Rhinolophus ferrumequinum: one gene and its partners. The protein of the gene in region 4 purifies or fractionates together with the protein of the main gene of each other region. This does not show direct contact. Links are inferred from orthologs where the notes say so. Each region holds a gene or a part of one and is shown on either strand. Other genes may lie near its edges.

Region 1 (7,770 bases), on a different chromosome or scaffold from region 4:
ACATTAAATCTGTTTTCATTAGTTTAACAGCAACTATGGCTTTTTAATTCTTCACAGTGGCTTTGTGTAGGGAGTTTCCATATCTGAAACTGTTCTGAGTTGTTGTGAATTTCACCTATATTTTAAAAATATAGCGTGCTGTCAAATCCAACTGATTACAGAACCCATTCCTTCATATCCACATTATACACGCACGTACTACATCAATAGTCTCTAGGAATTAAATATGAGTAAGATTATCACCTACCTTTCAAATTATACCTTTGGTACCTAACCATGGTTGAGTTATCAAAAGACTTCTAATTGGCTTTATATCACTATCATAATTGTAATAAAATTATCAAAATAAAATTATAATAAAACATGGTAATGCTTTCTGATAAGAAACAGCCCACATTTTTCATTATAAGAACTTAAAGAATTATGTTTTCAATAATATTTAGTACTTAATTTTTACTAAAGATAACATTTTAATATCCTATGGATGCAACTGGAGCATTGAAAATTATGAAGTATGCCAGTACAGAGATGTATTTGTTGACTTTATTAAGCCACTGCTTATTAATAAAAATCATGATTCAAATTTGTTGTGCTATCTTTATGAACATGTGGACCAACAATCAGGATCTTACGGGTAAAGTATGTGGAAAAAATGGATCTTTAGAAGATTTACATCATGCAATTTAATTCTTAAGCCCCCAAAATATAAACATTCATTAGATCTACAAAATAAACCTTAAGTGATCAGAGCTGAAAATTTCACATCAAATGAGAAATGATCTATAAAAAAAAACAACTTCAATATTTATGACAGCATCCTTTTTTTAAAAAAAAGCAAATTCCCCAAACTGACTTAATTAAATACCTGTATGCACAGGATTTTTCTTCAAAATTTAGTAGGCGAATGTCTTATTAAACGTATCACAAAGGAAAGCATCTGTCACTGTTTTATCAGTTAGAATAAATTGCTCTATTTCAAGATGTTGGCCTCAAGAATAAAATAACTCCTGACAATTTGAAGAAAACCTCTCCTAAGTCTGTAAGAGTAATGATTCAACTATCTAATTTTTTTATGGAAAACAAATTAATATGCAAATTAAATGTAAATATTAATATACATATGGGTACGTTTCTGGGTGTGCATTTGTGCACCCGCACACACACTAAATGTTTAAAAGAACGATACCAATTCTGTAATATATTATGGCTTAACAATTCAAATACCTCAGAAACCACTAAATTCATTTTTCCTTTATTTTACTTTCAACTGAAGCACATACACAAGGACTGAATCATGAAAAGGTATTATTTCACATGTAAACAGTGCCATCTTCTGGCAGCTGGAACTGTTTGCGGATTAAGATAAAATTTATTTGGATTGTAACTGCCATTTTCTTGGTAAATTGTGTCTACAGGTTACTGAGTAAAAACTCTTAGTCTAAAAGCTGTTGATTTTTTTAAATAATCTTTGAAAAATAAGAGCCTTGTTTAGAATTCCTTCTGATAGATATAATTTCAAAAGAGACAAGTCATAAACCTTACATTCTGCTACTAAATCTACTAACTAAATACTGAATCTTAAACTATATAGCCACTCTGGACCTGTTTCCTCATCTATAAGATTGTTCAACTAAGCCATTAATTAAGTTACTTTCCGTCTAAAATCCTCCTTGATTCTACCTGTAGAAATGTTTATGAGTATTTCTGGCTTTAGCATCCTAATACGGAATATAGTCCTGTTTACGACACGCGCTTTCATAATTATCTTTGATTAATATAGATTTGTTTGGTTATGCACTCTGCTTGAATTTTTCTCAAAAATATATCTTAATTTATACTTCTCCCTGTCCAAATAGACTTCCCCTAAACAAGACACATTAGAAAGAACTGACTGCATTGTAAATGAAGGTAAACTCGAGTAACTGAACACAAGTTTTGAAAAAATATTTTGTAAAGTGTGCATGCTTTAGATAAGATGGGGTCAACGTCAAAGCAAGCACCCAAAAGTTAATGGGAAAAAAATCCCTCCGAAGCTTCTAGAATCTTAAGTGTTATGACAATAAATAAGAGACAGAACAGGCTCAGAGTTTGGGCAGCTCTTCCTAACACCCCCATGGCTTTGGCCAACACTACTGCTGAATTGCAGGCCTGCCATCTTGGACTTATCTGTACTACCATTTCATTCTTCCTCCGTATCAGTCATCAACTCAATTCTTGTTTCCAAATGTCTTGCTATGATGCATACCTTCTTATTCAAACTCTCTAGCATCCATCTAGTCCGGGCTCTCAACCACCTAGGCCAGCACCACTTAAGTATCTATCAGTCTTCTGCTTTTCAAAGAGTGATTCAGAGACTTGCATCAGAATCATTCGGGATGCTAGTTAAAACATGTCTTCTCCGAGACCCCACAAAGTAGACCAGCACTGCCCAATAGAAATATAACATGAACCACATACGTAATTTTAAATGTTCTGCTGGTCAGGTTAAAAACTGAAAACAAGTGAAATTATTTTAATAATATATTTGATTTACTGCAATGCACAGAAAATATAATTCCAGTGTGTAATCAATTGAAACACATATCAATATAATACTTTATATTTTTTATAGTAGTAGGTCTTCGAAATCTGGTATTTTATACTTTTAGCGTACCTTGATTCAGACCAGCACATTTCAAGTGCTCGAGAGGCACCTGTAGCTACTGGCTGTGCTCCTGGACTGAATCAGACTTGGAGAACGGGGAATAGAAGCCAGGAACCTATATATTTACCAAAATATCCAAGGGATTCTTTCACATTCTCAAATTTGAGGACCACCACGCTAGACTGTCCTTTATGCGATTCATTCTACAACCTTTACTGAATTTACATTTGCAAAAGTGCCCTTTAATTATGTCAGTCCTAAGAACCTACAAATCCCTGGTACCTCCTGTTCCATCAAATCAGATGGGCGTTCAAAGCTCCCTAGAAGTGGCCTTACTTCATCTATTCAATCCGCTCTCCAACTGGAAAACGTTTTGGGCTCTTCCATGAAGTTTTCCTAGACAAATATTCAAATGCTCCTCATTCAACAAATATTTGTGGAGCACCCACTAAATGCCATCGTGGGTCCTGCACCAAGACAGGGAAGATACACCACAAGTCCTCAGAGAATTATAACAATGTAACAATTAAATCAATGCTCTGAAATAGCGCTGTGAGATGCTTTGAGGGGTTAAAAAAATTTATTTAATGCAGTGACATTTAAGTTAAAAAAGAATATAAATGTAATTAGCAATTTGAGCAGATAAAATGAAATTTCTAGGCAGAGGAGAGAGCATTATGAAAAGTCCCGAGGTGGAAAAGTTGCTAAAGGACCAGGCAGAAAGGAAAACAACCTGAAAGGGGGCTACTGAAGTAGACAGAAGCCAGGTAAAGCCAAGTTTGTGAGCCTTCAATTTTCTTTCACTTTTTATTTTTTTTAGGTATGCATATTTAAGCTAACCTAGATTACAAAATTTTCAAAAAGTACAGACCACCTTCCTAAACCTTATTTCTTATATCTCCTCATAGAACACAAAGTATTTAATAAATATTTCCTGTATGGAAAACTTATGTATTTTGGTAAGCTTTTAAATTCTAGAATCTCCAAATTGTACTAAGTATTTGCATCTTCACATAGACAATTTACAAAGTATAATCTTTCCCGCAGTGCTGAGTGTCAATATGAAGTTCCCAGAAAAAGACACAATCTTTATGTGGGGTAAGGTGGCCATCGTGCTCTACAAGTGTGATGCCAGAATTCTGACTCTAACCAAATTCCCTGATGGAAGGAGTGAAAAGATGGTGATTTAAACACACACATACCACGTACCGCCAAGACTAAACGATGTAAGAAGAATACTATTGCCTGTTTTACCTGTTTTACTCTTCAAACTGATCAAAATCTGATATATGCCAGACTGAACTGGAAGATGACGCCCTAAATCCGGGGCCTCTAGGGAGTACATCCTTGAGTGGTCAGAACCTGTGAATTTGAGGGGATATTGCTTCCAGGATTAGGTTCAAGGCCAGATTACCTGACTGGGTCTGACCTAATCCCATGAGCCTTTAAAAAGAGACGTCTCTGAAGTTAAGAGACTTCTGGTGACAAGACCTATGGAAGGATGACCTGGCAAAGGCACAAGAATGGACTCTGGCCAACATCTGGCAAGAACCACGAGGACATTCACTCTGCCAACACCCGAGGGGCTTGGGGAACCCCGCCTTAGATGAGACCTCACTTGCAGACACCTTTATTTCACCCTAGTGAGACTAGCAGACCACCCAGCTATGTCACGCTCAGGCTCCTGACCTACAGGACGCAGACACTAAATGAGTGTTGTTTTAAACCACTCATTTGTGGTAATTTGTTGTGTAGCACTAGAAAACGAATTAACTCAGACATTCCTTAAATAAATAACATAGTACGTCTGGTAAAGTTTTTCAGAGCCATTTTACAAATAAATGTTCCAGCCTCGTGAAGAATAAAATTATTTCACAATGGCTGTGAACATTAAGGGTGCACCACCTCCATTACACTTCTCAGCCTAACATGAAAAGTCACTGAACGTGGGAGTCCCGATTCCCTGGGAAGTTCTTCCGTGTCGATGGGCCCTTTGGGGGACGGGCCGTCACCTGCCGGTGGGCGGGGCGGGGCGCGGCGGGGCGGGGCGGGCGGAGCGCAGGCGGGGCTCCACGGGCGGCCCCGCCCCCGCCCCCGCCCCCGCCTCCCTGCGGGGTTGGGGTGGAGGGGAGCTGGCCGCGGACCGACGCAGACGCGGGACACTACGGCGGCTGGGTTCGCCCCGTTAGCCCCGGCCCCCTTCTCAGCGAAAGCCGCGCTCCCGCCGTGCGCAGGCCTCTGAGGCTGTGGCTGCGCGGCCGGCACGCGGCTGCTCTGCGAACCCCCGAAGAATTTGGCAAACGCTTCCACAGTCCACGGGGGGTCCCCAGGACCACTAGAGACGCGGCTGGCGGACAACTCGTGGCACTTTGAAAATATCCTTGAAACTCAGAAACTGTGCTCCTGGTCGCTAGGCAGCGGCCAGTAACACCGGGGTCTGCCCGCTCCCCTCGGTCCCATCCAGCCGACCACGGCCACAGGTGACCGACAGGTCCCCACCGGCGGCGGACAATCCGGGACAGCCGACCACGCCTCCCCACTGCGACTGCGTGATTCGCCAGCTCCCGCGAGGGCGGAAGGGCGGGCTGCGCCTGCGCGGAGGCGACGGCGCGCTGCGTCGTTACTTTTGAAACCCGTGGCGGGGAGCTGCTGCCGGCGCCGTCCGCGAGTGTGCGCGCGCCGCGTCTGTGGGCCTGGCCATGGCGCTGCAGCTGTCCCGGGAGCAGGGCATCACCCTGCGCGGGAGCGCCGAAATCGTGGCCGAGTTCTTCTGTGAGTCCCCCTCGTGCAGGCCGCAGGCCGGAGGCCGGGCCGGGCCGCCCGGACGCCCGGGAGACCCGCGGGCGGCCCTGCGGCGGGAAAGCGGGTGGGCCGGAGCGGCCCAGGGTGCAGGCCTCCTGCCCGCCGGGGGACATCCGGGAACGGGCGGGCGCGGGCGCCTCCTTCGGACGCGACCCTAATTACTGGTGGGGGGGAGGCCTAGTGTTCTCGAGACCCTGCCGGGGAAGTACCCCTTCTCCGAGCGCTTCTTTAAAGTCCCCCCCCCCCGCCATCGCCCGTCGACTTAGGACGTAGTGCGACTGGGCGGAGTCGAGCGTGTGTTGTACCCCTCCCACCCCGAGGTGACGGATTGGTGGGGACGGACCGGCCTTTGGCAAGCGCTGTCCTGGACCAGGCCACTTGTACCTAATGACAGAACCTGGCAGGACTTGCGAGGAGAGGAGGGAGGAAAACAGAGGGAGGGGCTTAGCCGCTTGGGGCGCAGGAGCCTACTCTGAGATCCTCTAAGCACATAATCAGAGTTTGCACTTGGATTACCACGAGGGGACATTTGGCAGTGGTAAACTGCATGTGTGGCATTTTTCTTTTATTGCCAATTAATTGCAGGCATCTCTTACTTAGAAACAAGATTTTGAGGCTGTTCCGTGGTACTTTGTACCACTCTGCTTTCAGCAAGACACACAAACACAAGTGTTTAGGCATTTATAGCTTATTGCTATTAATGAAACCGCAGCTGCATCTAAAGATGTTTTGTTTTCCAGTGTTACAAAATGATAATAACTTGTCGTTATCATTTCTTTTGCTTTCAGCATTTGGCATCAACAGCATTTTATATCAGCGTGGCATATATCCATCTGAAACCTTTACCCGCGTGCAGAAATATGGACTCACCTTGCTTGTAACTACTGATCCTGAGCTCATGAAATACCTAAATAATGTGGTGGAACAACTAAAAGGTATTTAATTGTTGGAAACAGTTTTGAGTTTTGTAGGCCTAGGATGTCCATTTTCCAAGTAGGATTTTGATGGTCATTTTTCAACTTTGTACATAGCAGGTGTAAAACACACGACCATCTCAAATATAGTGGCTCTCAATTGGGAGGAAGCAAATAATAAAAATTGAAAGAAATCCTACCCATCACATTTTGAGTGGGCTGAATATTTTGATGTTAGGATTCTGATGTGGCTTAACAAAACTGTCTCTATCGACTTCCTTGGAAATGCCTTTTGCAGTTTGGCCAATGGAACAAGTTGGAATTTTACATAATTATGATAGTGTTATTATTTGTGAACAAAACACTATATATTAATGTATTTTCTGTACCTGCTTGGAGTGTAACGCCACCATTATTAAGATCGAGGAAATTAAATTGTATTCAACCTCGGAACTAAACTTCAAAAAAAATAAAAAAGGAGAAAAAGAACTACTCTATAATAGAGCACCTGTAGGTAGAGTTTTCTTTTTCACCTATTTCCACTTTTGTTTTTGAAAAATCCTGCCTGTGAGTCAGTAAGCCATTTCTAAATACTCATTTTTTTTCTTTAGCTCAAGTAGTTGCTCTATGGTTGGATCAGTACTTGTTTTCCATCTATTTCTTTTTTTTTTTCTCTCTCCTAGAATCCCATCAATTTCTCTTTCATGTTTCTCTCCACTTGTGATTCTCACTTCTAATTTTTCTGGATTGTAGGATGTTTCTCCCTATCTTCCCAAAGTACTAGTTCCAAAAAGTGCTATGTGGTGGCTTTCTATTTTTATTTTTATAATGTTTTAATTCACAAATCATATTTATCTGTTTCAAGTAGCTTCGTTTTTAAGATGAAGTGGCAGGCATCATGTTTTTAATTAACTTCGGAGCTAAATCGCCCGTAGCCCTTTATAAGGCTGCACTCGCAGAATCTGGCCTGAAACCTCTGGGCAACTGTGGATCTGTGTCTTCATCCTGATTTGATGGAGAAGCGAGACTTGCTTAAGCTACTGGGATTGGGGGTTGTCTCCTTGGAGACCACACTGGTGATATTTCATCTCAGGTATCTAGACATTCCTATTTAACATCTCCCTTTTCTTTTAGTTAAAACGGAGGAATTATTCTTCCTAGAGGTAAATTGTCCAGTCTGCTTCGACTCCACTCCCTCTAGCCTTCTTATGGACTCCACCCTATTTCTTCTCTCTTGTATTTTTGTATTCTTGTATTCTTTGTTTTGATTTGGATTATTTCCAGTTTTAGAAGGAAAAAAGCCCTCTCAATCCCCCCCTTTTCAGAGCGAAACTGATAAAAACGTGGATCCGGCCCGCCTGGCTCAGCAAGGCCAAGAGGCCGCACCCAGCCTACGGCTTGGTCTGAGCT
Region 2 (7,469 bases), on a different chromosome or scaffold from region 4:
TGTGCATTCTTTGTGTGGATTTATCAATCTCACAAGTCTGTTTTAGCACTATTTCTTTATAGAGATCATCAACTTTTCCCCTGCCATGTAGACAGTGATGTGTTCTCCTTCAATCCCATCAGCATATAAACATGTTATTTTTTCCATCTTATAAAAAAAGGAAAAAAAACTTCTGTCCACCTGATACCACCCATTTCCTCCTTCCCTGCAAAACAGGGCTTTTCAACCTTGACATCTTGATGTTTTGGACTTGATATTTAAATTTACAATTTTAAATTTCTACTTCACTTTATTGTGCAGGTCTGCCCTGTGCATTACAGGATGTTTATCAACATCCCTTGTTTCTACTCCTAGATGCCAGTAGCAAAGCAAGCCCCACCCCCAGTCTCCAGACATTGCCAAATGTCTCCTGGGGGCAAAATCACCCCCAATTGAGAACCACTGCTCTGCAGCAAAACTCCTCAAAAGAATGATCTATCTGTACTGTTGCACACTAGTCTCCCCCATCCTCTCTTCACTGCCCCACCAAAAATGCTCTTGTCAAGGTCACCAATGACTGTCATGGTGCTAATCCAATGGCCATTTCTCATTTTGTTTGACCTGTTGCCATATATATATATAGATACACACACACATATGTGTGTATATATGTATATATACACACATATATACACACATATATACACATGTGTGTGTGTGTGTATATATATATATATATATATATATATATGTAATTGATTATTCCTACCTTCTTGGAACCATATTCTTCATTTGTCTTCCAGAACCCCACTGTCTTACTTTTCTTCCCACCTCACTGGCTGTTCCTTCTCAGCCTCTTTTGCTGGTTTCTCCTCTCTGACCTCTTAATAGTGAGATGCCTTAGGGCTAACTGTGTCCTCACCTAGAGAGCCAATTATTACATCCCAAGGTATTTTGTCTGACAGTTGTTTTGTTACAGTTGGCAGCTTGCAGTTGTCCATGGTAAGAGTATTTACACCATGAAAATTGGCAAACACTACAAATCATGGCTTCCCCCTCACCAGCTGTTACACATTTACCTGTTTATCAACTGCCCCAGTCTTCAAACTCTCTTAACTACACTCACCCTCTTGGTGATCTTATCCAGTCTCATGGGTTTAAACACCATCTCACTCTTCAAGAATTAAATTACAAGGGTAAAAAGGAAAGGGAGGAAGAACCTACATTTTTAAGAGACATAATCAGCCAATTGCAAGAATGGACCTTGTTTGGATCCAGATTCAAAGAAACCAACAGTAAAATATACACAAACAATTACTAGACATGACTAGATATTTGATGATATAAAGAATTATTGTTGTTAGATGTGATCATGGTACTGTCATTTTGTTTAACAAGGAGTCTCTCTTTTAGAGAATACTGAAATATTCATGAATAAAATTATATAATGGTTGGAATTTGCTTCAAAATAATTTGAAGGGTAAGGAGGAAGGTGGGGGGTGCTCTGTGAAACAGGATTGGTCATGAATAGATAATTGTTGAAGTTGGGTGATGGTTTATGGGGACTCAATATACCAATACCTCTATTTTTTAATATATTTGAAATTGTTCTTATAAAGTTTTTTTTAATGGCATCTGAATGCTGAAAACTCCCAAATTCATACCTTCCTTCTAGACGTCTCTGAATTCCAGACTCAAATACCCAGCTAGTCTTCCCAGCATCTTCCTTAGATTCAGATAAGTATCCAAATCTTGGAGCATTATACTCCAAGATGCTTCTCCCCCAGTCTTCCCCACTTCAGGAATGCAAAGAAGCATCCCACCTACTCTTGTGAGATGGGTTTACACAGAGATGAGAAAATTTAACAATCACAGATTTAAATACGGTGGATAGATGTACAAGGCATGAGGTCATTAGTTATCAAATGAATTGTCCAAACTGTAATTCCCATTCAGAGAATCGAGGGATTAGAGGAGAGAGCAATCACTTTTTAGAAAGTATGGCAATTTCAACTAAAAATGTCTCGAGTCTATGAATGTTGGTTTATTCCAGGACTGGAGGATATGTGACTTTGCAGTAGGATGTCAATCCAGATATGAACCTAACTATATTTTACACTGCCGTGTAGAGAGGGTAAATTGGTGACTGTCATGTGGTTTATAGGTGTGTTTATTTTTAATTGTTTCATTGAGGTATAATTTACATAAAATAAAAATCACCCATTTTAAGTGTATTATTCAATTATTTCTTAGTAAATTTAGAGAGTTGTGCAGCAATCATCACAATCCAGTTTTAGAAAATTTCCATCAAATCCCAAAAGGAGGGATCTTTTGGGAACCGCAATCACTTCCCAATTCCTACCTTCACCACCAAGCAACCACAAATCTTTCTGTTGCTGTCGGTCTGTCTTTTCTGGATATTTAATATAAATGGAGTCAGAGATTATATGATTCTTTTTCTGTCTGGTTTCTTTGACCTAGCATGATTTTATTTTTAGCACAGCACAATATTTTTGAAATTCATCCATGTTATCAGCAGTTCTTTTTATTTTTGTGCCGAATAGGTTACACTGTACAGATATACCACATTTGGTTTATATAGTTATCAGTTGGTCAACATTTGAATTGTTTCCAATTTTTGGCTATTATTAAATGTGATTTTAACTATAAAATATTTCAAATGGAGAGAAACGTATAACAAGCATTTATAGTGTTCACTGTGTGCCAGACATTGTTCTAAGTGTGTTAGATACAGTGGTGTATCTGGCATGTTTGACACACAGAACAGGTCAGTTTTTACACACACACCCCTCTTTTTTCTTCACTTTTTTTTTTAGCAGTTCTAGATTCAGAGCAAAACTGAGTGGAAAGTAGAGAGTTCCCAAATACCCAATTGCCCCTGCTGTGTCACAAATGCACAGCCTCCCTCACTGTCAACATCCACCACCAGTGTGGTACATTTGTTACAGCTGATGAACTTACACTGAAATATCATTACCAGCCAAAGTCCATAGTTTATGTTAGGTTTCCATGTTGTATATTCTATGAGTTTTGACAAACATAATGACATGTATCCACCATTATAGTATATAGTTTCACTTTCATAAAAATCCCCTGTGCTCCACTGATTCCTCCCTCCCCTCTAACCTCTGGCAACCACTGATCTTTTTACTGTCTCCAGTTTCATCTTTTCCAGAATGTCATACAGTTGGAATCATGCAGTATGTAGCCTTTTCAGACTGGCTTCGTTCACTTAGTAACGTGCATTTAAGTGTCTTCTGTCTTTTCATGGAACACCAAGACTGTGTTTCAACAATTGACAAATCTGTTTATAGTGCTAATTGAACATGAATATACAAAGACAATGACTTTTGACAGTCACTGACAATTTTGCAGAATTTAAGGACCAAAAACAGAAACTGTATTTTATTCATTTTCTTGCTAATCCAATAGGTAGGATAAGTCTTTCTCAATACATTAATGTATTTAAAAAGTATTAATCCATTACCTTTTTGTACTGTAATAGTGGTTTTACTTTGCATTAAAAATTGTACTAGCATTATTATTTAGATGAAGTTTAATAAATATTTTCACGGTCTGTTTCTTTTCTGGCCATTATTAGTCATTTCATTTCATGATCATTACTGAAAGCATTTTTTTTTTTTTCTAAATGAGGGGGTGGCCCAGAGAATGAGAAGGCAACCTACAGGCTGGGAGAAAATATTTGCAAAACACATATCTGATAAAGGACTATTATTAAACATACAAAGAACCCATAAAACTCAACAATAAGAATACAAACAACCTGACTGAAAAATCAGAAAAAGATCTGAACAGATTCCTCACCAAAGAAGATATACAGAAGGCAAATAAGCATGAGAAGATACTCGACACCATGTCACTGGGGAATTACAAATTAAAAAACACATGTTAGGATGGCTAAAACTCAACCTAGCCAGTATTCATTCTGAGCTAGTAAATCATTTCACAGGGTAGAAATATTCCCTTTTAGACCCAAGACTGCTATCCAAAGGCTGAACGAATCCTGACTCCAGCAGGTACAATACCTGACAAGAGGGGGCGTGGCGCCTTCAGCCTAGTGCGCAAGCGTGACTGTAAAAGCAGTTAGGACTGCCCCTGGCGCCTGATTAAAATATTCAAATACAACTATTGGGGCTTTCCCCCTACATACAACCTACTGTGTTCTTTTATTTATGATTAATGTTCATACATTTTTATTAATTCCTGGGAGAGACAAATTCCTCTCATACTCATTTCCTTTGAGCATGTATTCATACTGAGGTGCCTTTTGTCTCCATCGTATTTTTAAGTCCTCAATAAAATTTGCAACTCAGAACGACATAGCTTTGCTAGAAAAAAAAAAAACCCAACAAATTAGTTCACCTCACGAGGGCTTGGGGAACTGAGTTTTATTTATTTACTCAGGCACTTCAGTAGTTGCCTATTTTTCTGGGGGCGATGCCTCATATGGACCCGATGGACCCCGGCGAGGCCGCCATTTTGAAGTCTTCCTTAAAGATATTTTACCGGCTTTTCGTGCCGCTACTGCCGCTCCCTGCGGCTTTGCCCGGCAGGATGAATGTGATAGACCACGTACGAGACATGGCGGCCGCGGGGCTGCACTCCAACGTGCGGCTCCTCAGCAGCTTGTTACTTACAATGAGTAATAACAACCCGTGAGTTGAGGCGGGGAGCGGCCTGGGGCTGAGGAGAAAGCAGCGCCTGTTCGGGAGCGAGGGCTGAGGGGGCCTGGGGACTGGCGGGAAGGAGCGGCCGCGGGCCCCAGCCCAGCTGAGGCTCCGGGGTCAGCGAGGCCTCGTCGAGCCGAGCTGAGTTAGGAACGCAAGTTGAGTTCATGGGGTCCCCGCGTTGTGCCAGGCGCTGGGATGAACTCGCTGCGGGAGATGTGTCGTGCGGCGACGGCTCGGAGAAATGGAAGGCGGAGGCTCTGAGGACCTCCCTGGCGAGGGTTTCCCGAAAGTTGGGAGCGTAGGGTTTCCTGAGGTACCTGTCACCCAGCACGGCGACTGTCACATCACTGGGCTGACTTCTCCCTTCCCAGCTCCTTCCTGAGGAACGTTTTCTCCCTCGACGAAGCTCAGAGGCCAGTCCCCTGGTTTTATACCTTCGTCCTACATCCGAGACTGATTTTTATCCGCCTTGAGTGTAGTTCCTTTTCTCGCCTCAGCAAACCCCAGAAAACGGGAGATTCCCTTGATTGGGTGGGAGTGGCGCCTTTTGAAGGACTTGCAGTGCGCCTTTCATGTTTTAAGAGCTGCCGTTTATTGAGTCTAATGACGGAAGAAATACAGGGCCCTTGCCAGCCTTGAGTGCATGTCGCTCCCCTGCTTCAATTTCTCCATTGTGCTTCAGGTTCTTTCCCATGGCCAAGGGAGCCACACATCTTTCTCCCCCACTTAATCTCATGTCCGCTGCTCACTGTTCTCCAGCCTCCGTGGCTCTTCTTGCGGATACTTGAACACGTGCCAAGCTCATTCTCAACTCAGGGCTTTTGCATTTGCTGTTCTGCTTAGAGTCCTTATCACAGACCTGCCTCCTCCTACAGGTTCCAACTCCGATAGCCCGTAAGAATGGCTCCTTACCCTCACTAGTCTATCCCTTTGCCTTGTTTTATATGCTGCATCACTTTTTTTTAATCGAAATATCATTGACATGTAACATTACGTTCGTTTCAGGTGTACAACAGAATGGTTCCATATTTGTATATATTGCCAAATGACCACCACAGTAAGTCTAGTTAACATCCCTCACTACACATAGTTACAAGTTTTTGTCTTGTGATGAGAGCTTTTAAGATCTATATTCTGCACCACTCTTAACACCGAATGAAGTCAGCACACTGGCTGTGTGCAGTAAGCCCTCACGCTTATTGAATGTGCTAAGGAAGTGCATACAACCTCAGGGAGGGGAAATACCCTGTCCAAGTCCACACATTTAGTCATTGGAGGAGCCACGATGTCTGGATTTTGGTCCCTTTGACTCTAAGGTCTCCATTCTGACCTACGACAGTCTCTTGCCTCTAAATAGCATTATAATCGAATCTTCTACCCATTTGCATTTGGCATCCTCTTGAAGCTGTCTAGGTCAGAAAAGAAAGGCCCCTTAAGTGCCTGTGATGCCGCTGCTGCTCCCGATTTTATTTCCATTAGTGTGCTTTTGGACCTCACTACGTGCGACTCATCATTTTGCCACCATCCACTTAGTGTTGACAGGGAGGAGCCCTGGTCTCTGTCAGCCTTCTGTGTTTATTCTGGAGACTTTCGCTTGGTTCTGAGTGATTTGTCAAGGCACACAGTTTCCACCATTGGGAATGTATGCACCAGTTATTCTTGGTTCTTGAAGATGTTACAGGATAGTTAGATGTTACAGGATAGTTAGATGTCACAGGATAGTTTGATCTTCTGATTTGTTCATATTAGGTTAACTGGCAGTTTCCTAGCTTCAGGAGGCATTTAAATTCTGACCTTTATATTTAAAATTTTCTTACTGAATTGGCAATACAACACAGTAAAAAAATTCAAACAGAGCAGAAGGGGTATGCAGATACGTACCTGTCCCTGAATCTTGAACCTCACTGTGACATTTCCCTTCTCCAGAAATTCCCTTCTCCAGCAAAGAGCTATTAACAGTTTCTTACATCATTCCAGAGATAATTTTTGCTGTACACATAGACGTGTGTTACAATATAAATATCTGAGTGCTTTCTCTGAGTATAGTAACTTTTTCTATCAAATCTTATTTTTCATTAAATACAAAGAATCTCAGAATTGGAAGAGATCTTAACTATCTGGACTATACCTTTCAACTTTTCAGTCCTTGAATTTCCTTTGTAACTTTATGCAGTGTTTAGAGTTCCTATCTTTTTTTAAGATTTTTTTTTTATTAAGATAAAATTCACATACTGTGGAATTCACCCTTTTAAAGAATACATTTCTGTGGTTTTAAATGTATTCACAAGAGTTGTGCACCTATCACCATTGTCTATTACAAAATGTTTTCATTACTCGAAGAAAGTAACACCTTATATATTTGTAGTCACTTCCTGATCCCACTTCCCCTGTTCCTGGCAACCTCTAATCTACGCTACCATTCTTGAGTATCCTTCATTTGTTGAGAAATTAACTGTCTGTTCTTTCATATTAAGCAGCTGTAGCTTTTACCTATCAAAGAAAAACATGTAAACTCAACTTGGGAAGAAGTAGGTGGAGGGTTGGGATTGGAGATTAGAAATGTGAGTTTCCTATTAAAAATGGTAGCCAGCTTCTAGGCAGTTATTAACACTTGTGAGCAACATTTAAGGTTAAAGACAAACTTTTGAAACACTGGTTCCATTATACTATCCTGAAGCCCCTGAGACTCAAAGAGATAAAAATTCTCCTAGTGCCGGTAAAGTTTACTTTTGTATATAAAATTTAAAAAACTTTTGTCAAATAAGGCTAATCATTTTA
Region 3 (7,280 bases), on a different chromosome or scaffold from region 4:
GGACAGACACACCCTGGGGACTGCATACACGACCAGCCCCTACATGCAGACAATGCAGCATCCAGCGAGAACATTTCTGAGCACATCATGTACGTCTACAAGACATACTGCCACGTGCTCTCGGGGATGCACACGTCCCCCCAGCAGACTGTCCAACCACCGAGAAGACCACCCGACACTCTGCAGCCTTGGGGCTACCCCATCACGCTTCCAGGCCCACGCCCACTCCAGACCACTGCTGTGGGACAGCTCTACGCCCCCATGGCAGCTAACCTGTACCCTAAGGAGGCAGACTCCAAGCTGGTCGGCACCCCATGGTTTGGGCCAGGTCCTCCGTGACTCTGAGGAGTTCAGAGCAGAACCCAGACCACGCCCCAATAGCATGGGTGCCCTGAGGCCCCTCACTGCCTCCAGCCACGTGATTCTATACAGGCCTTGCTGCGCACGTCGCAAGCTCTTCCTGGTTGTCGCTGGGGGGGGGGGGTGGGGGGGGGGGGGGGATAAAAAGGCCCACAGGGACCAGCCTCCACCCAGCAGTAAGACAGCTTCAACCACCCGTGAGGTCCTGGCTCACCTGGCCTCCACGTTCGGGCTACTTCTAAAGCCAGGGTGTCAGGTTTGCCAGAAACCTATTCCCCAGTCCTAACGGGACACAAACCAAGAGGGGGCCATGTGGAACTCACCTTGTGGAACTCACGCAGGAAGGAGCGCTCGTACTCGCCCCGGCAGCGGTCCTCCATCCGCTCCCGGGTCACCTGGTGCAGGGTGGTGGTCACGGCCTCAGCACTGACCCGCTCCAGCAGACTGAGCCTGTGTCTGGAGGAGAGCCCTGCCCATGGAACGTGCACAGCGCATGGGCTGCACACACCACCCCCACACCCAGCACACACCTCCCATGGCCCTCCTGGTGGAGGCACATGGTACACAGGGCTTTGAGGAAGAGCTACTGGGAGGAAACAGCACTGGCAAGGCCCTGACCATCCTCCCCAGCTGGCCTTTCTGCATGGGCTGGGACGCTGACCTTGCCCATGTGAGCAGCATGTACGATTCAGGGGCCAGTCTCATCTCCCAGAAATGGCTCGGAAACAACAACTACACACATTGCCACCTGGCCACATGTGTACACATGCCATGGTTGGTGCCGCTCAGGGCCAACCCTGGCTTACAATGGCAAAGGGACTCAAGATAGGAAACGTGAAAGAATGCTTGTGTGTGACTCTCATCTGGGGCGAACCCAGCAGACATCATTTGGGGCCTCCCTGATCCCTACCAGCAACAGGACCACTTCCTAGGTCCAGGAACAAGACCCTCTCCCTAACAGCTGCACTGTTGGCACTTTTCTCAACGTGATAAAACTGTCGTAGTGGCCACAGAAGGTGGAGAGCCAGTACAACAAGGCATGGCTCTAACAACAGAATCCTTTCCTCTTCAAAGGGAGGTGTCTGCTTGCCCAGCATGCCAGCCTTATCTCCAACTTGTTCCCAAAAAGAAGAAATAACAAGCCCACCTTCTGCAATTACAGGACAGGGTGAGCACCACTGCTCCCCCACAGCCTATAAAAGGCACAGTTGAATTCTGCACGGCCCAAGAACCTTGGAATCACACAGGATCTTAGTGAAAAAGTGTGAAACCTTGGGCTAACTTGAGTCACAGACAGACACGCCTGTGTTCAGGACAAAAGGTGTTACAGCGCAAGGCTCTTGTGGACCCTCCCTGTCATGTCCATGGCGACCAGGACAGGTGGCAGAGACCCCAACTAGCTCACCAGCTCTCTGCAGAGGCCAGCAGGGCCCAGGGGTGCAAGCGGGAATCAGAAGAACGGGCCTGGCCCGGGCGCGAGTACTCACAGGACCTGGCTGAGCTGATGGAACTGCTCCAGGGCCTGGCGGCACCAGCACTGCTGCTTGTCACTGCCGCACCCCGCACACACTGGGCTCTGCAGAAGCCGGTAGTACCGGCGGCGGGCATACCTGCTGTCCAAGTCCCCCTCCAGTTCCGGGTCTGTGCCCCCTTCCCCTTTCCTCTTACTCTGCAAGTAGACTCTCAAGAAGCGCCCATAGAGGCGCTGGACCATCTCCTGAAAGCTTCTGGGGGTGGAGAAGAACAGCACGCCCCGCAACGTGGTGTGGACCTTCTCCCGCAGCCCCTGGGCGCCGGCGCCCATCAGCAAGCCCAGGCGAGTCCATTTCTCCAGGAGCTCCAGGCTACGCAGGTAGGGGTCCAGGCGGCTCTCCAGCAGGCCGAAAGCGTCGAGGAGCAGCAGAAGGCACTGGGGCTCGTCGGCACAGTTCTCCCGCTGGGAGACGGCATTCCAGAACTCGAGGGAGATGTTGGCCTGCAAATCGTTCTGCAGCACCTCCACGAACCACTCCTCCAGGACCGAGTGCAGGCCGTGGCCCTTCAGAACCTCCACCGCCGCCCGCAGCTCCTCTTCCTTGGGAGGGACCGCACCGCTGGTCCGGGAGGATGCCTGGAATGCAGAAAACCGTGAGGAACAGGGGACACAGCGTAGAGGTGGCAGAGGTGGGGAAGGGACAGGGCGCAGGGGCCGCTGCGGAAACTCCGCTGCCCCTCCTCGGCGGCGCTCGGATGCTGGGTCGGGGTGCACGCCCTCATGCAGCGCGCCGGTCCGGGGAACGCCGCGCAGGCCCGCCGCCCTCCCCCGGGCCTCACCAGTCCCAGCGCGGCCGGCGGCACCAGCCCGGTGCTCACGGTATTCCAGGCCGCCAGCAGCTGCTGTGTCGGCCCGGGGCGCTCCGCCGCCGCCATCAGCACCCACCAGCATCCAGAGCCGCTCGGCGCCGCGCGCGCTGATGACGCACAGCTAGGCTCGCGCGCGCGCAGCGGTGAGGCGAACGGCAGGCGCGCGGAGATGACGTACTCGATGCGCGCGCTGTTGAGAGGCAGTGCGCAGGCGCGGGCGGCGTTGCAGGAGCGGCGGTTGGAGTGGCCGGCGACCATGACCCAGCAGGGCGCGGCGATGCAGAACTACAACAACGAGCTGGTCAAGTGTGAGCGGCCGCGCGGCGGGGCCTGCCGGGCAGGCGGGGAGGGCGTGGGGTCGCCGGCTTGCAGGCCCCGGCAGTAGGTGGCCCGCAGCACACGGCCAAGTTAGTTGTCCTGTGGCTGCGAGGGTGGCCCGGCCCGGACGGCGCGCAGGCGGTTCGGAGCTGCCCAGCGCACAATACCTAGCTCCTGGTGTGCCACGCACCAGGTGCTAGGTATCTGTGGACTGAGGAATCGCTTGAGCTCGCACTGCCTCCAGGCCCAGCGCCCGGTGGCCTCCAGTGGTGCCGCCTTTAACCTGAGACCCCTGGGAGCCCCGGCCGGCACCTGGTCTCTCTACCACCTTTCTGTCCTACAAAGCACTGGGATTCAGAGTAGATGGGATGGTGCTCTCCTGCCTGCCCTGTGCCCACAGCCCTGCCCCCGTCCGCCCACCCTAGGCATCGAGGAGCTGTGCCAGAAGCGGGAGGAGTTGTGCCGGCAGATCCAGCAGGAAGAAGATGAGAAGCAGCGGCTGCAGAATGAGGTGAGGCAGCTGACTGAGAAACTGGCCCGCGTCAATGAGAACCTGGCACGCAAGATCGCCTCTCGAAATGAATTTGATCAGACCATCGCAGAGACCGAGGCAGCCTATCTCAAGGTGAGGCTCGGGACAGCTTGCGGACCTGTCTGCCATGCCCACAAACAGAAGTGACAGGACTGTGGCACGGCCAGGCCCGTCATGGAGTGACTTGGTGTGTCCCCGGTTGTTCTTTGCACCATACTCAGTACCCACCCTGTGGTTTCTTCCAGACTGAGCAGCCGAGCGGCAGCAGCAGGGGCCAGAGTTAACCTGACTTTCCAGGGAGTGAGGAAGGGGCTTTGGGCTAGACTCAGAGGGAAAAAAGGCCCTGCCGACCCTATCCGCCTGTCCCCTCGGGCTTCCTCTTCGCTGGGCTATGGGTGCTTCTGACAGGAGGGACAGTGACAACCATTTCGTGTCTGTTCCCAGATCTTGGAGAGCTCACAGACTCTACTTAGTGTTCTGAAGAAGGAAGCTGGGAACTTGAGCAAGGCCACAGCCTCAGAGCAGAAGAGCAGTGGAGGAAAGGACAGCTGACGAGGCCCAGGAGGGGAGGCTTGCCTCCACTGCGCCCACCGATGGCTTGGCCCCCAGCAAGTCTGTCTTCAAAGCATCTTTGTCCTTCACGACAGCAACTGCTTTCTCTCACCGTCTTGCGTGCCGAGAGAGGCAGCTGCCAACCTCCACTGCCCTTGGGCGCAGCCCACCAGGTGGGGGTACTAGCCATGCACTCACACGGGCAACAGGGAGGGTGGGCTCTGGGTCAGCTCCGCGTGGGGCCGCTCTCAAGCCCCCACATCTCCCCAGGTTGTGGGAAGGCCCTGCTTCTGGCCTCAGCATCATGGGAATCCCCTTATGTTTTCCCTCTGCCGGCAGGTGCCCAGGCCAGGCAAGTGGCGGAGGGGCTGGGGCCCTCCTTCACCTCAGGGCTCACTCTGGTGGCCTGTGACTGTCAGTAAAAGTTGTCTTTGTAAAGGTACATGCCAGTTTGCTGCCTGTGTCCTGTTGGGAGAGGGCGGCTGCCCGTTACACCCAGAATACAAGCTTCCCCCTAGCTGCGCTGTGGCTCCTGGGGGGGAGGCGGGGTTGTGTGGGTATCTGCTGACCCTCACTGCCCACCTCTCTCCTGGTCCCTGGCCCTGACTCTGGCACATGAAGCCCGTCCTTTGCTGAGGGGCTCTGCCACCCCCTGGTGTCTAGGACAAGGTGTGGCCTTCCTGGGCTCAGGTCCCTCAGCAAAAGCTGTGCCCAGCTCCGTGGTTCCTGGCTCTCCGCCTGGCAGCAGCACCGCCTCCACCCCCTCGCCACACACCAGGCACGCCCATCTGCAGCTCTGCAGGGGGCCTGGGTCCTCTGGGTCCTCCTCTGCTGGTCTGTCAGCCCGTGGGGTCCCTGTGGCTGCTTGCCCCCCCAGGAAAACACCAAAGATCCTCCCTCCCCAGCCTGGGCTCCCCACAAGGGACAAGGTCACGTTCCACATCTGGGCTGTAAACAGCCCCGGCTCCAGGCCAGCAACTGGACAGGTAGAGCCCGGCCATCTGCCCACCACTCCCAGGGCCCGCTGGGCTTCCCTGCCAGCCACCAGCACCGACCCCAAAGGAACTCATGGGCTCTCGTGGTTCAGGGAGTTGTCCAGGCCAAAGAGGACACAAGGTCCCTGAGGCTCTGCCCCCATGCCCCCCGCCTCTGCCTGTGGTCCCCGCCTAGGCTCTTGGCCCTTCAGAAAACAGCGGCAGCACTGACCGTCCCTGGGCAGGGTTCCAGACCCTAGAGCTGGCCCAGTCCCACCTCCTACCACAGCTCCCCCCGTGTCAGCCCTGGGTGGGAGGGGGCTGCACCAGCGGCTGGGAGCACTCATGGGGGTCCCTGTCCTTGGCAAAGAGGTGGCTGGGAGGGTAGCTGGGACTGTGGGGAGTGACAACCTGGACCAGCAATACTGCGAGGTGTGGGGGAGGGCCCACCTCCTGTACCCCGGGCACAGACATCCAAGCTGGGCCCACACCAATCCCACGTGGGCTCCTCTCCACTGCCAGCCCCTCACTGGAGCCCCTGCCTCTGCACCCCCCTCCCGGCTGAGGACCATGAAGGAGGCAGGCTCGTCCAGTGCTGTTTATTGAGTCCACCATCGGAGGCAAAAGATTTCCATTCGTCACAAAGGGGGCAGGCTGAGCTCAGCCGTGGGGGGTGAGGGGGTGGGCTGGGGGGCTTGTAGTCCTGCAGGACAGGCAGCCAAGCCGGTCCTCCACCCAAAGCTGCCAGGCACGGCGTCCAGCAGCACCTGGCCCTCGTCCACAGGCAGTGCCCCCAAACCAGGGCTGGAGAGGGAGACCCAGATGGACCCAGGGGAGGAGCAGCCTCGGGAAGGGAGGGTGGGTTATGGGGGCACAGCCTGGCAGGGCAGAAGGTGGGTACAGAACGAGGGCAGAGCTTGGCCATCCTGGCAGGGCTGGAGTCAGAAATAGAGGGCTGGTTCGCTTCGGAAGTCTGAGAGGTCGCTGTGACTGGCAGGGGTGAGCTGGGAGGCAGGAAGGCAGCCAATGGGGCTTTGACCAGGCATTAAGAGACCCCCTCCTCCCTGCGCCCAGCACCCCACTCACCATGACATCCTTCTGCGTGGGCTCCACCTCGCTGGGGGCCTGCTCCAGCGTCTGCTCCTGCCACTTGCTGAAGGCCACGGAGTGTTTGGGGGTGTAGCTGGACAGGCCTGCAGGCCCAGGGGTACACATGTGGACATGTGGGTGTATGCACAAGTGGCCCAGACTACCCATTGGGCTGCCCACCAGACGGGGGACACTCACCTGAGCTGCCGTCTGGCAGCCGAGGGCTCTCGGGCACCACGCTGTTAACGAACGTGGCTCGGGGCAGGAAGAGCACGAAGGGCTTCTCCACTGTGGCATTCAGGCTGGGCCCCTCCTCTTCTTCCTCCTCCTCGCCCTCCTCCCCCTCCCCCTCGGCCTGGGCCTGGGCCTCGGCCTCCTGCACCAGGGAGCTCTCAGAAGGGTACTCGAACGTGGTGTGCAGGCTCTTGTCATTGAAGGAGATCTTCATCTGCAGACAGAAGGCACATCAGCCAGGCCCCCACTGCCCTGCCACCAGGGTCCTCCAGCTGGACCAAGTGTGGCACGGGGTGGGGGGGAGGACCTTCAGAGGCTCTGAGCAATGGGGTGCCTCTCATCAGAGAAACCGTCCACCTGGACCCTGCAGGCCCAGGCCACGACGACCCGAGGACAGCTGGCTCTGGCTGCCCACAGCACCCTGGGCCCAGGGTCACATCACCCGTGACCCACCATTCCCAGGGACCGGGCCCCAGCCAGCATCTTCGGGGTCTCCATAAGCCTCAGGCAGCTCGCAGGTCAGAGGGCTGCCTGCCTTCTCAGGGAGCAGAGACCAGCCACACCTCCCTCCACTGGGTGGCTCCACGCAGGAGCAGAGTCCATGTAAGACTGCAGTGGGGGCCACATCCTCTGCTCCCAGCAGCTCCTGCTGTCGGCTGGGCCTCTCTCCAGAGCCAAGTTCATGTCCCAGCTTGCTGGGCACCTGGACAGTCCTGTCCACCCAGCTCAGCACGGACCACCACTGCTGGGCAAGGGCCCACAGGAGGAGCCGAAGCCGGGTGGTGGTCGCAGGCCGACACCAGGAAAGTGGCACCAGGTGCTGTCACCCCACACGACAAACAATTAGCCTAAGGCTCACCGAGGGGGGGTGTCAGTGA
Region 4 (7,228 bases):
TTTATGTCAACAAGAAACTTGTCTTTTGGAAAAGAATAAGAATGTCCAAGATGATGACAAAAAAAGGGAGAACACAAATAGCACTAGAAAGGTAGCCATGATACAATCAAATAACAGTCAACTTGGAATCAGACAACTTGCATCTGATTTCAGCCGTGTCACTTATTGGCCATGGATGTTGGACAAGTCACTTAGCCATTCTATGTAAATTTCCATTTTCACACTAGTCAATTTCCACCTTGGAGGATCAAGATGGTGCCCAAAGTTCCCTGTGCTTCAAAAATAAGACTGTCCCTACTCCATCCTCTCTACAACCATTGAAAATAAGAAAAGGTAGAACTGCATGTGCTCCTGAAGACCCCGCCACACCTTCCTAGCACCCCACATTCACAGCTTTAACCACTCCCTGCCTTATCTCATAGCGTCCTTCACTGTCCCCTGGGAAGCCAGGACTCCCAAGGAATCGCTCATTCCCTAGAGTCAGTCAGTGCTCTTCTCTGAGCCCATCTCTGCCATTCCTTACTTCTGAAATCCTTCCTCTGCATCCTCTGGAGTTCATGGTTAGGTATCATCAAGATCCCCTATACCTTCATTCTCTTCTCTGAAATGTGCTTCTCACCCGAGGATACTCAGGGGGTGGCCATTTTGCACGCCATGTCCCCTGTACTACTGGGCTAGGAGATGAAGCAGGTTTCCTCCCTGATGCTTGATGTCATTTCTGGATGATTTTTCTTCTTTTCTCTAAAATCCTCTAACTTCAAATCTTATGCAATCAGACCGTACCACACACTATCTCCCTTAATTGCAGTCATCTAAAGACCTCTAGACCAGTTCCCTCATTCCTGCAAGATATGGACTCCTGCCTGGCTCACTCATGCTTTTCAACGCTACTCATCATCATTCTTAGTGATTTCAAGAGCTTTTCAGTTCTCAACTACCTCTGCTCCAATGATCACGTCTTCTGCCTCACTTCAGTCACTCCCAGGGTCCCACCCTTGCCCTTGTGTCATTACCAACAAGTATAAATGCTGCCCTAAGCTCAGTTTCAAACCTCCCACTTTCCATCACCACCTCTGTCTTTCCAGCTCATTCCTACTAATATCCAACTTCAATTCTTCAATTTCACCAAGACACACAATCCATTGATTTTACCTTCTATTCACTGTCCCTTACCCAACACGTGCTCTCACTTCCCCACTTAATCAGGTTAGAATAGAATGCAGGTTCATCATTACAACCAGTCCTCTCACATATAGTTCAACTTCTTAGTATCTCTCTTGCTTTGTCATACTTGCAAAACAACAACCCTGGTTAAACTCAACCATGCCTGCATCCACACAGCCAAAAGAACAGAAGAAACATATGAGTACAACCACAGTCACTACTTTCCCTTGAACTTACCAAGACCACTAACCTCACGTGGCTCTTAATAATGACCAGAAATCCTGTTCGGTTTCCATAGTCAACTTGCCTTGTTGGCTTTTGCGTCTCTCTCCTTTCTCCTCAAACTTCCAATATTTTCTTTTCTCTAGACAGCGCCCTTTCTTCTCACTGAGTCAGTGGAATCAGCAAGTGCCCACGATTATATCTACCCATCTAATCGCACTGATGCCCCCATTCTCTCCCTTCCCTCCTACTGATATGGTTGTGGTTATCCGCATTCCTCTCTAGAGCCATGTCAGAGCTCCAATGCACCTTGGCAGGGGAGAAAGATGAGATTTCATGGAGGGCCCTGAGAAAGTAGTACCCTGGCGTTGAGGTCATGGCAGCCAACACAGCAATGCGGCCCTGCAGGCTGCTAAGTTTCCCAGGCTGAGTTTTCCTTACCATCACAACACAACTCTCACCTGGCCAGGTAATTCAGGAAACCTGCCAAAAGGCCGAAGGAGGGAACACTCACCGGTGAAGGTTTCCTTACAAAATGGCTACCAGGTAACAACTCTCCGCAGAAAGTTTGGCACAACCTGTTGTACTTGACGCATAACATAATGTGAAGTAGAAATGCTAACTGACAACACTCATGCACATTGTCAGGAATCCAGGGAGGTATCACTCACTACCTTGTTTAATTTAAAGGTGTTTTTAATGGGTGGTGGCTGTCCCACCCATGGTGTAAGACTTGCACGGTATAATGTAGATGCTTAAACAGGCCCTCTGCTGCAGCTACATGCATGGACGTTTGCAGCCAGTTTGACAATAACTCATCTTGCTTCTGTTACTAAACTCCAAGCACACTTCCAGCAGGGTCTGTGGATCTACCAGTCCGTGTAGCTCACGCGTAACAACACATCACTGGCTTTCATAAAAAGGCCATTTAACAAATCATCGGCTAAAAGAGACGTGGCGATACTGTGTGTGATTGTGTTCAGCTGTGTGAAAACGTATTTTCGCCACAAAATACGGAAAATGGGCACAGAAATGATCTTTCCTGTATATGCTCCCTTATATACTTTCACTTGACGTTTATAGCCGACCTGGAAGGAAGGGTAGGGTAGACAGGTGGCCTGCCAAGTTCACAGAAGGAGAAACTGAGGCTGGGGCAGTGTGTCCGCGCTCGCTGTCGGTCCGGCTCGCTGTTCGTGGGGCTCCCAGCCGTTTCACTCACCTCGCCCGCGGTGTTGGCCAAAGCAATGAGATCCCGCTTGGGTGACCAGACCAGGAAAATGATCTCCTGTGGCAGCTGCTTCTCTCCCACCACCCGGAAGGACGGGAAACAGGTCGGAAAACGCAACATGGGGGCGACCCTGCAACGACACCCGAGTCGGAGGCCGGCAGAGGCTCCCCGCACACGCCCGCGTCCCAACGGGGCCTGGCGCCCGCGCCGCCCTCACCCCGAGCCCTCCCGAGAAGAGCCCCGACAGCGGAAGTACCTGCGAGCAGCCCTCGGGCGGCCTCTCCCTCCCGCTGCCCGCCGCCGCCGCCGCCGCCGCCAACGCCGCCGCGCGCTCCGGGCACTTCCGTCGCCCGGACTTCCTCGCGAGAGGAAGAAGGCGGCGCGGGTGTGGGAGTCGGCGCCGAGGGCGTGCGGTCGGGACCCGGATGCGGAGGCCAGGACGCGGGGGGTGGACCGCTGCCACGCGGAACGCGGGGCTGGAGGACCAAGCGCGGGTCGGCCCCGGATGCGGGGTTGGGAGGGCGGGGCGCCCGGGGGCGGGGGGCGCGGCGCTGAGGCAGCGCGTCAGCCTGCGGACGGGGCTTGTGTACACGTGTGTGCACGCCCGCAGGTCCTGTCTGTTTTCCCGGAAATTCCTCGCTATGGGTGAACGGACAGGCATAGGTTTAGGAGCGAGGCCGCAGAGACCAAGGGGAGACGAAAAGGAACTCAAACTTTAGGCACCGATCGGCTGGAGGCGCCTTTGACAGTCTCTTAATAGGTGTTCTCAGTCCCGGTTGCTCGGTAGAACCAGCTGGAGAGATTTTTAACTACCCCCCTGCCCAGACAGTATCCCAGACCCATTAATTCGGTACGGGACCCAGTCTTGATTAAATAAACTCTCAAGCTGGTTCCGGTTTGCAGCCAAGGTGGGAGGGCACTGCTCTAAAACCTCTGACATAGGCAATTGTCTTCATTCTTTATCCCATTTAAGCCTCAAAACTTATTGGTAGTAGTAGCCCCACCATAATAATTGAGGACTGTGGGCTCACCTAGGAGTTATCCAAGTTTGAGCATCTGCTGTGTGAAAGAATCTGAACTGCACAAATGCACGGGACACGGGCTCTGCCCTAAAAGGCTCACAGGTCAGCCTGACCGACAGGTAAACCAGAATCCATCTGATGCTTCCTTATACAGGACACATTTGAATGTGTCAACATACTGCTAAGTGCCCAGAAGTTATGACCGGGTTAAGAGAATGTGACACTATCATCCTTTGATTCTTGAACTTAAAATCTGCGATGGCCAATGGGCAGCTGGAAGGCAGGTTCAAAGGGGAAAGGTCAGGGCCTGAGCAAAGATATGGGATTCCCTGTGTACAGGGATGGAAGATGGAGTGGTGAGGGATGTGGCTAATCTAGGCCATATAAAGTCTGTTATTCTGAGAAGTCTATTTTGAAGTCATAAAATAGGTGAAACATATGAAATAAGCAAACTGAATTTGCTGGAAAGAAAAATTAATGTAGGTTGGTGTTGGAATCTCTCTGCCCTACTACAATTTCATTCATTAGGCAACAACAAAAAAACCGATTCAAAGTGGCACAAGTAATAACTAGAATGTATCAACTCATGTAAATTGCAAGTCCGCAATAGGACCAGCTTCAGGGAAGACTAGATCCAGCAACTTCCTATCTCCAAGTACCCAGCTCAGGGTATGTCATCATAAGGCTCGTTCCCCATGTGGTCCCTGGAAGTCTGCTAACAGCTCTGGAGTTACAAGCTTCCTCATTCACAGGGAGAACAAAACACCTCTTCACCAGTCACAAGATTAAAGTCCCGAGCCCCACTGTGATTAGAGTAACCCCTGTCACCTAGCGGACATCAATCACAGCTAAGGGGGATGGAATTATGCCCAATAAAGACTTCCCCAAGAGCTGAGAGGATGTCAATCATTCCTCCCCCAAATCTCATGGCAAGAATGATGCTGCTGAAGGAACCAATCAACTGTGCCATAAGACAATCAATCATAACTACTCAAAGGGTAGTTTTAAGTATGAAGTACATTTTGGAGATGTTCCATCCTGGCAGAGGGAGTCTAAATTGTATCAATTCATGGTGTTCTGTCTCTCACAACTACTTCAGTTGCTGTTCTGGGAAAGAACTTAAGAGACCAACTTGTGATTCCCACCTTGAGAAATGAGTTCTACTAAGAGCTACAGAACCAGTATTCATATGTACAGGAATTTCTCCTAAGGAAATAAGGAGAGATTTGGTTATAAGGATGTCCATCATAGGGTCTTTTACAACAGGGAAAAAATGCAAACAACTTAGATGTCCAACCATAGATTGATTTTTTTAAAAATACGGTACATCCATACTAAAGAATACTATTTTTGTAGCTATAAGTTGATATGCACGTTTATGAAGAGTATTACAAAACTATTCCATTTTTGTGGGAGAAATTTTAGTGTGTCTGTCTGTATAACTATCTATCCTTGGAGGAACATACACAGAAGTCGTCACAGTAATTATTTCTGGGTGGTAGGATTAGAATTGCTTTTCATTTTCTTTGATTTACCTCGCCCATGTATTAATTGTAGAGTTAAAAGGCAGGAACCTTTGTTTCCTTTGTTCTCTTTAAGCATGTAGAATGTTTAGGGGGCTATTCTAGTTTTCTCCCACTCCTCGCCTCCACATTTGCAGATGAAGAAACTGGCCCCTATGTTCAGGCTTAGCTTCTTAGAGATCACTGGTTGTTACACTTCTAGTCTGCAGGGGTATGAAGCAACTAAACAGTGTGAAAAGCTTGTGATGGTCCAGCTAATGGGATAAAACTCCCCTCTCAGAGCTCTGAGACCTGCTTGCTCACTTTTGGTGCTTTCCCCCTTCCCCACCCCGTGTCCTGCTGAGTTAACATTTATACTAAGTCACCTGAAATCAAATAGTAGAGATCTTATCTTCACTTTATTGATTGCAATGACCTTCTTAGCTGACCCTCAAGTAATTTAACCCACGTCCTAATGTCCCAATTAAAATCACATCAAGTAAGTGAAATTGGATTTTCCTTTGCATTTTGTGCAAGCTTTCCTTACCTCCACAGCCCTAAGCGTATTAGCTTCTTACTCATGTAGCACAGTTGGGGTTCTGAGGCATAAAGCGGTATATTAAATGGCATTTCTACTCACTCAATATGTATTTATGAGCAGCTACTACTTGAAGGAATGGGCTCGCCTGGCTACCTGCTGCGCAGGTGGGGAGGAATAAAGGGATGACATGTGCTACCGTCAGTTGTCTCTGATATCACCATGTACAAGGCACAGCTCCAAGAGCCAGTGAACACATACAATGATGTCCACAAGCCCCATCAATGAGCTTTTTATCTGACAAGGGAGACAAGTACAAAAAGTCAACCTAACCCATGATTTAAGTACCTTATAAGAAGTATAAATGAAAAGACAAAAACACACACACATTTTTATTTCACTGGCACAAGACGTACTATTTCACTAGAGACACCGAAAGGACATTATGAAGGAGGTGGCCTCAGACCAGGTCCTGTTGTAGACTGTGATTTTATGTTTAAAAATAAGTCAAACTACTCTCAGATGCCTATTATTTTTACAGATTACTTTGAAGGGGCCAGACATCAACTGAAGTGATTTTCTTAAAATAACCTTGAAAGCCGAAATATTATAAGTTTGAAGGGTTCCAGATAAGGCAGCTAGTCTTGCTCACACAGCACATCCCAACATTTAAACCCTCAGTGTTAGACTTGTCCTCCTATTGACTCTTAAATTCCTCCTAATACTGTTTAGGTTGTTTTCCTTATTCCAGTTCTTTTAAGAAAGAAAAAAATAGTCCTCTCCATATCTTAAGCATGCCTACTGTTACGGACTGAACTGTGTCCCCCAAAATCCCTATGTTGAAGCCCTCAGTACCTCAGAATGGGACTGTATTTGGAGATAAGGTGTTTAAAAAAGGAGAGGAAGGTAAAATGAGGCCATTAGGGTGGTCCTAAACCAATCAGGCTGGTGTTTCCTATACGAGGAAATTTCCTATACGAGGAAATTTGGACACAAAGAGACACCAGTGATGCACACGCATAGAAGAAAGACCATGTGAGGACACGGTGGGAAGGTGGCTTTCTACAAGCCAAGGAGAGAGGCCTAAGAATAACCAACACCTTGATCTTGGACTTCCGGCCTCCAGAACTGTGAGAAAATAAATTATTGTTGTTTAAGCTACACAGTCTGTGCTATTTTGTTATGGCAACCCTAGCAAACTAATACACCTACCATCTGAAAACCTATACAATACCATGTTTTCATCAGATTGTTAATGAGTACCTACAATGCATAAGACATAAAAGTAAATAAAATGGTTACTGACATTAAGAAACTGCAATCTTTTGGGGGATAGAAGCCTTAAATATAATCATATAAGGATAATACATGAAAAGTGCCTCAAATGTGGTGTGGAACGCCAAGGGGTTGAATCCTGGTACTGGTTGGCATCACGGAATTAAGCAAGACGTCCCAAGGCAATGGACTTGGGCCAGGGCCTGAAGGCTCCATAAGACTATAATAGATGGATGTATGGAGGGAAATATTCCAAACAGAAAGAAGAGAAGGTGAT

Evidence for each region.
Region 1: the proteins of ANAPC4 (region 4) and MAD2L1 purify together in Homo sapiens (affinity purification with western blotting; 14 studies listed by BioGRID and IntAct, with this or other methods). This does not show direct contact. The link is inferred for Rhinolophus ferrumequinum from reciprocal best matches to the Homo sapiens genes ANAPC4 and MAD2L1.
Region 2: the proteins of ANAPC4 (region 4) and ANAPC7 purify together in Homo sapiens (affinity purification with western blotting; 14 studies listed by BioGRID and IntAct, with this or other methods). This does not show direct contact. The link is inferred for Rhinolophus ferrumequinum from reciprocal best matches to the Homo sapiens genes ANAPC4 and ANAPC7.
Region 3: the proteins of ANAPC4 (region 4) and ANAPC2 purify together in Homo sapiens (affinity purification with western blotting; 12 studies listed by BioGRID and IntAct, with this or other methods). This does not show direct contact. The link is inferred for Rhinolophus ferrumequinum from reciprocal best matches to the Homo sapiens genes ANAPC4 and ANAPC2.

What each region holds. Positions count from the first base shown.
Region 1 is NC_046301.1:3,654,802-3,662,571, reverse strand, and holds the start of MAD2L1 (mitotic spindle assembly checkpoint protein MAD2A), read left to right. Parts: upstream 1-4,767; 5' UTR 4,768-5,343; coding exon 5,344-5,416; intron 5,417-6,234; coding exon 6,235-6,381; intron 6,382-7,770. UniProt on the Homo sapiens protein: Component of the spindle-assembly checkpoint that prevents the onset of anaphase until all chromosomes are properly aligned at the metaphase plate.
Region 2 is NC_046308.1:6,116,803-6,124,271, reverse strand, and holds the start of ANAPC7 (anaphase-promoting complex subunit 7), read left to right. Parts: upstream 1-4,457; 5' UTR 4,458-4,458; coding exon 4,459-4,676; intron 4,677-7,469. UniProt on the Homo sapiens protein: Component of the anaphase promoting complex/cyclosome (APC/C), a cell cycle-regulated E3 ubiquitin ligase that controls progression through mitosis and the G1 phase of the cell cycle.
Region 3 is NC_046295.1:83,295,182-83,302,461, forward strand, and holds the start of ANAPC2 (anaphase-promoting complex subunit 2), read right to left. Parts: upstream 2,962-7,280; coding exon 2,674-2,961; intron 2,471-2,673; coding exon 1,848-2,470; intron 817-1,847; coding exon 684-816; intron 1-683. Other genes in the region: microtubule nucleation factor SSNA1, read left to right, coding at 2,960-3,011, 3,447-3,646, 3,998-4,105; TPRN (taperin), read right to left, coding at 6,021-6,083, 6,166-6,272, 6,367-6,616. UniProt on the Homo sapiens protein: Together with the RING-H2 protein ANAPC11, constitutes the catalytic component of the anaphase promoting complex/cyclosome (APC/C), a cell cycle-regulated E3 ubiquitin ligase that controls progression through mitosis and the G1 phase of the cell cycle.
Region 4 is NC_046288.1:71,131,613-71,138,840, forward strand, and holds the start of ANAPC4 (anaphase-promoting complex subunit 4), read right to left. Parts: upstream 3,007-7,228; 5' UTR 2,871-3,006; intron 2,745-2,870; 5' UTR 2,735-2,744; coding exon 2,606-2,734; intron 1-2,605. UniProt on the Homo sapiens protein: Component of the anaphase promoting complex/cyclosome (APC/C), a cell cycle-regulated E3 ubiquitin ligase that controls progression through mitosis and the G1 phase of the cell cycle.